2 linked regions of the Nothobranchius furzeri genome follow. The protein of the gene in region 1 interacts with the protein of each later gene in a biochemical or structural test. Links are inferred from orthologs where the notes say so. Each region holds a gene or a part of one and is shown in the gene's direction. Other genes may lie near its edges.

What was found.
Region 2: the proteins of upf2 (region 1) and upf3a form a complex in vitro, tested with the Homo sapiens proteins (2 studies listed by IntAct, with this or other methods). The link is inferred for Nothobranchius furzeri from reciprocal best matches to the Homo sapiens genes UPF2 and UPF3A.

What each region holds. Positions count from the first base shown.
Region 1 is NC_091741.1:38,128,971-38,132,795, forward strand, and holds part of upf2 (regulator of nonsense transcripts 2), read left to right. Parts: intron 1-1,680; coding exon 1,681-1,785; intron 1,786-1,849; coding exon 1,850-1,948; intron 1,949-2,126; coding exon 2,127-2,300; intron 2,301-3,825. UniProt on the Homo sapiens protein: Involved in nonsense-mediated decay (NMD) of mRNAs containing premature stop codons by associating with the nuclear exon junction complex (EJC).
Region 2 is NC_091754.1:29,406,646-29,409,557, forward strand, and holds the end of upf3a (regulator of nonsense transcripts 3A), read left to right. Parts: coding exon 1-81; intron 82-178; coding exon 179-234; intron 235-321; coding exon 322-480; intron 481-592; coding exon 593-726; intron 727-1,112; coding exon 1,113-1,419; intron 1,420-1,941; coding exon 1,942-2,130; 3' UTR 2,131-2,308; downstream 2,309-2,912. UniProt on the Homo sapiens protein: Involved in nonsense-mediated decay (NMD) of mRNAs containing premature stop codons by associating with the nuclear exon junction complex (EJC) and serving as link between the EJC core and NMD machinery.

The sequences.
Region 1 (3,825 bases):
GCTCTTGAGATTTGTTTTCCAAAAAAATCCTACGTGATTCCTCTTTTCCTGACCTTTAACCTCACGCCTGTAAATTCTGACCTCGGTGTGAACCTGCTGGGGCGTTCACTCAGTGAGACTGGTGTGTTGGATGTTTGTCATGAGTTCATGCAGCAGAGAAACAGAATCATTCGTGTTTAGGCTTCAGGTTTCTTCTGGAAAAGCTGACAGTCAGACTGATTTATTAGTTTTCTGACAGAAAAGTAAAGAAAACTAAAGGTTAAAACTGTTTCCCCACATGTCAGAGAAATGAGAGGGTGTGTGTGTGTGTGTGTGTGTGTGTGTGTGTGTGTGTGTGTGTGTGTGTGTGTATTTTGGCAGACTTTTATTAAACAGGCCTTCCCTTCACTTGGTTTCTTTGCACCTGAGTCATCAGTAGCTGATAAGCAGGAAGTACTAGAAAAATAAAAGCATATTTTATTCAAATCATGTAGCAGGAAGTGTTTTGATGGGTTTAATTTAATTTTTTTACCCACATTTTGTTCCAACGTGTGTGTGTGTGTGTGTGTGTGTGTGTGTGTGTGTGTGTGTGTGTGTGTGTGTGTGTGTGTGTGTGTGTGTGTGTGTGTGTGTGTGTGTGTGTGTGTGTGTGTGTGTGTGTGTGTGTGTGTTGTGGGTGGGTGGGTGGGTGGGTGGGTGTGGGTGTGGGTGTGGGAGAGAGAGAGAGAGAATAATAAAAAAAAAAACGACCGGAGCGGAGGCAGTGACCGACGCAGCATGAGCCGTTTTCCGCTCTGTCTTGTCAAATGCACCACGTACGTTACGAAAAAAGTAAATTTAAATATTCAACCGAAAAAGAGGCGAACTGAAGAAAACCTAGAGTTCTGAAGAAACGTGAGCAACAGTGTAGCAAGCACAGAGAGATCCGTTACTGTCTCTGTGTGTGTGTGTGTGTGTGTGTGTGTGTGTGTGTGTGTGTGTGTGCGTGCGTGCGTGGGCCAAACTGGGCTTCCTCGTTTGCCTCTTTGATACGGTCTTCCCATTCCTTGGGACTGCTGCAGAGTTTTGTGTGTAGGGAGGGGCGGGCGCTCCATGTGACTGGCCAATCACAGAGCGTGAAGGCAGCCAGTTACCCAATGAGAATTTTTCTTCAGCACGATTTCAGATATTTACGAGTTTTACTCATTTCATGCTCGTATTCGTCAAAAATGCTTTATCCGTACCGGATATTGGTCTGGAACGAGTATCCGGCTCATCCCTAGCTGTAACCACCCTGCCCTGCCTCCTCCTCCTTGCTACCAGCTGGCTGTGATCACAAGCAACAACAGAGTAGTTCCCGCTGCTTCTTTGGGAAACAGCGCAAAAAACATTTTTTTTTAATCTATTAAACGGGATCTTGTAGGCGTGGCGGTGGGATTTCAGCCGTGGTGGCCCGCCACGGCTACGCCTATGTAAGGGAAACACTGAGTTTCTACTCGGACCGATTTAGAGGTGACACCCCCTGAGCCTGGTCACTTCCTGTCCGATTATGGTGTATGTTCTTAAAATAAAGTAAAGATAAGGAAAGCTAGAAATGTTCTTCTCGTGTTTGTTACCGACAGCGGAATGTTAGCATTGCTAGCGCCTGTTAGCATAATGAAGCTAATGATGCATCTGTTAGCAAGCCCGAGTTACTAAAATAGCTCTTTGCACAATTCACAGGATGGATCGGAGAATGAGGAGGAAGAGCGGGAGGAGGAGGAAGAGGAGAACACCGACTACCTGACTGACTCTAATAAAGAAAATGAGACGGATGAGGAGAACAACGTAAGATCTGATCCCAGATATTCCAGAGTTCCTCATCCTGGTTCTAATCTCTGTTCTCCCGCAGGAGGTCACCATCCGGGGGGGTGGACTGAAACTCGTGGAGTGTCCCGAGGACGAAGACTTCATTCAGGCTCTGGATAAGATGATGCTGGAGAACCTGCAGGTACCACATCTTGTTTTTAACTTCAGAAGACATGATTGTGCTAAATAGTTTGTTTCTTTTGTAAATAAATTTTTCTGTCACAGAGTCGGAAGCGTTTTTACACAACGCAGGAAAGTCGGTCACTCTTAGACACGAGAAGCTGAAACCCTCTTCTGATTGGTGTGTTTCGTGTCCGCAGCAGCGCAGCGGCGAGGCGGTGAAGGTGCACCAGCTGGACGTGGCCATCCCCCTGCAGCTGAAGAGTCAGTTGAAGAAGGGGGGGTCCTCACACCCATGCATGGGGGAGGCGGAGCCTGACATCTCTGACACCATGCAGTTCGTCATGCTAACTCGCAAAGGCAACAAGCAGCAGGTGAGAGCAGTTTAACCATACACACGACGCACACCGGCTGGGTTCTGCTGGTTTAATCAGGCGATTAGTCTGGGACCAAAGTTGCTGAACCAACCAGGACATGTCTCAGCTCAGAATGGATCAACCGCCAGACTAGACAGCTGGGAGTCGTGGAGCTAAAACCAGATTCTGGGTTTGTAAGACGATCGTCTGCAGAGTCGACCCAGTTCTGGTTCTGAGATGTAGAGACGACCTACAGTTAGAACAACCAGGGGATTACTAGTGGCTTTTCTAGCCTACTTGATGGGATTTTATATTTACATTTATTTATATTTATTTAGTTTAATTATATTTATGTTTTTATTATCACACCAAACCTCATAAAAAGCTTATTAAAATGTGTTTTTTAGTTGGGTAAGCACCTCCCTCAGTAGAAATGAATGCACTGGGGGGCCAAAAGAGACCAATTTAAAATGGTGGGCAGCAGCTCCACTAGGCAGCGCTAGTCCACGAGGCGTCTACGCATGTATGTATGTGCATTACAGTAAAACGACCTAGCATGCTAGCTAATCTAGCTAGCCTGGCTCTGGCTTCGCTTCCTGTTCAGCGGCTGTGAGCAGATGGGGGAGGGGCGGTCAGAGGAGCAGTTTGATGGATGAGTCATGGTAAATGGTCTGTATTTGTATACAGTCATTCACCCATTCACACACACACTTGTACTCTGAATCATGATCCAGTCATTAAGAAAGGGACGTTCACCGTGATTGGATGAGGTTTTTCCAGGATTGTACGTTTCATTTTTTTGATAAATCATTTAATTTATTTGCTGACATCAGCAGGTGAAGAACAGTAAAGATCACAGAGCCCACCTTTAAGAATTATATTAATGTTTTAAAGATTTAAATCTGGATACTTGGATCCGTCTAAAAATGGGAAATAATGATCCCCCCCCCCCCCCCCCCCCACACACACACACACACACACACAAGGCTGAGTGACACAGCTGCTTTGGTGCTCTTTAAGGATATTTTTTGGGAAGATGATGGTAAATGAGTGAAAATGGAGAGGCCGGATGGTGTTCCCTCCTCATTCCAGCTACACACGAGGGGATAACACCCTCGGATCTACAGTAAAAGTCAGCGAGGCCGTGTGGTGGAGTGTGTGGTTTGAGGGGAGAGACCGGCTTCTGTGCTGAAGGGTGTGTCCGGTCTGCTGCCAGAACTCCTGAGTTTTAAAAGAGTCCAAACATCAGCCGGTGTCGGAGACGTGGAGAACACAGAACGTCTGTGTGTGTGTGTGGGGGGGGGGTACTGGTCCCACAGAACCATCATTCAGCTTCTGCTTAAACGGTGTTTCTGTTTTTCCGCTTCAGGAATCCTGTCACAGGAAACTTCACTGAGAGAATCTGAAAGTTTTAACTATGAATCATGAATAAGTTTAATTTCTGCACATTTGGAGGATTTGGGCTTTATAAACTGGGCCAGGCTAACCTCCTGCTTACTGTCTTTATGCTAAGCTAAGCTAACAGGCTGCTGTTTGTCGCTCA
Region 2 (2,912 bases), on another chromosome or scaffold:
ACTCCTGTGATGAGGAGAAGTCCATGGCTAACCCCGAGACTCTGCTCGGAGAGATTGAAGCCAAGACTAAAGAACTCATAGGTACTCTGTTTTTACTAAAACAAAATCATACCTCTAAATTAGGGTTGTTCCAAAAGATAAATCACATCATTGCTTCTTTTTCTTGGTTTGCTTTCAGCCAAAAGGACAACACCTCTGCTGGAATACATCAAAAATAAGAAAATTGAAAAACAGGTAAGAAATAAAACAGTTGGAGGAAAATTCAATTAAATGTAAACCATGAAAAATAAACTCATTTTTGATGTTTCACACATTTAACAGAGAATCAGAGAGGAGAAGAGAGAGGAAAGGAGAAGGAGGGAACTCGAAAAGAAAAGGCAGCGAGAGGAAGAAAAGCGAAAGCGGCGAGAGGAAGAGAGGCGCAAGCGAAAAGAGGCAGAGAAGCAGAAGAAACTGTCAGAAAAGGACATCAAAATTAAGGTATCACTTCTCCTTTTCAGTGCTGTTAATGTGGTTATCATGTGTGAATGGTGCAGCTGCACACAAATAGAACGTAATTTTCCTTTTTTTTTTTTTGGGGTGGGATATTTAGCTCCTGAAGAAAAGCGACAGAGATGATGATATTGATTCAGACAGAACGAAGGAGAAAAGTGATACTGGTGATGGAGACAGGGGTAATTGGGAGAAATCTGTGGGACAAATGAAGTCAAAAGATCCCAAAGAGAAGTAAGACCTGCTAAATGATTCAATGTACATGCATTGAAAACATGTAGAAATTTCTGCCATTGTTTTCTTTTTTATTATATCAACAAAATAATCCAAATGTAAATGTTCTAATTAGTTTATTTCTAGGTTGTTGACATTTAAAAGTATATGGAATGTAAATTTTTAGCAATGTTCTTCATCCAAAAGACACTTTTGTTGGAAAATTAAATATTTCTTTATTGCCTGCAGTTAAAATTATTTAACAGTGAAATTCATTTTGACATTTAAGGGAAAAAAATGTAAACGTTTTTTTTAAGTAGCCGGAAATTTCATTATTGTGGTTGTACCTTTATGAAAAACAATTCATTATCTTCAGTAGTGCATGCTCTACTTTATGTAACCACTAGAGGTCAGCCTGAAAGCGACAAGGAGCAGAGAGAGCAGCAGCAACACGGGCGCAGGCAGCGAGACAAAGACCACAGAGGAAAAGATGAAGAAAGAAAACGACAACGACACCACTATGAGTTTGATAAGTTCATGCGCCGGAAAGATGAGACCAAGTGGGGGAAAGGCTACTGCCAGGACCGGGCCAAGAAAGAGGGCCATCACCACGGTTACTCCTACTGTCCTGACAGTGGAGAAAAAATGGGAAAGGAGGACAGGGAGGAGCTGAGTAACAGGAAGGAACGCCTCCGAAACAAGGTGAGCGAGAAGGTGAGCATGAGATTAAAAGGAAGCTGGTCACTGATGTATCCCATGATGCAGACATGTAACTATGCTTCGGAAGGTTTATTTATTTATTTTTTTACTACAAACAAAATATGTCAGTCACTTAGTGTTGTGACATACACAACCTCCACCCACACACTCACACTTTCACTGAATGGTGTGGTGGAGATGATGATGGGCTGTTTAAACAAGAAAAACAAAATGTTAAAAGTATATTTATTCATAACTGAAATCCTATTATACCATCACTCTCACCTGTGTGTTCTTAACATAATCTTTGTACATTTTTTCATAGTTTTTTTCTTCTATTACTAATTTATAATAGAATTTGTTGTGTGGCACATGTGTTTTTAGGTCACTAAAAATGTGTAAAAATACACATTGTAACTTTTAACAGCTGTGTGTCTTTAAGTATGTAGTCAAACATCTGGATTTCAATCCCAAGTGGAGCCTTTAGATCTAAACTATGCCCTTTGTTTCATCTCTGCCCTCTTCTCTTCCTTGCAGGACCGTCCAGCCATGCAGCTGTATCAGCCGGGAGCACGCAACAGGAAACGTATGAGCTCAGCCAGTAAAGGCTATGACTGCATCCCTGTGGGCCACTCACCCGAATGCAGGACGGATCGTTGTTATGATGTTGTTACCATGACAACTGGACTAGAGAGGGGCTTTGAAAAAAGCAAAGATGAGCTGTGAGTATTCTGGGTAAAATGAGGAAATACATGTATAAAGTAAAATAAACAGTTTGTCAGGTTATCTGGTTTGACTGGGTTAACTGGCTTATTGGTTCTGTTTCAAAAAAGGAACTGAAAGAAGATATTTTTAAAATAGTAATTAGAGCATTCGCTGCCTGATTGCCAGCATCAGTCTAATTGTCAACCCTTGATAGGATTGTATCCTCTGCATGGGAACATCATTCTTGATTTTATAGATTTTTAATGAAACAAACAATAAAGTTGGAGGAAGTTGCAGACCGATGACGTGGTTAATAAGAGTAAAATATGTTTTTATTACTGTGTACAGGTGAGAAGATGACTATGAATTAATTTAGAAAAACAAAGTTTCTGTCTAAATATTTTACTAGTGCTGTGGTTTAGTCAGCCAGCTTTATACATGATCAACAATGAATCTGTAAGGAAAACGCATAATTATAATGAAAAGTTTGCATTTTTGTTCTGTTACTCAAAACTAGTTATCACAAATGTTTCACTGCAGTTGTTGTCCACATAGGTTTTACAATTAGCTTTAGGGGTAGCTACGTTTTATAGCATTGTGTAAAAAATAGTTTTACGAGCTTAATAATAACTTTGCACGTCTCATTTGTAAGTTTCTTTATAAGAAATACATGATGTCAAACAATTCTGCGGTGTTTCCGTCATTGAGGATGTTCTCTGGGTGTGACAACAGACACCGTATGGTTGTGAGTTAATCACAGTTGGAGGTGATTCAACACAAGAAGGTTAGTGAAGGTGTGGCTC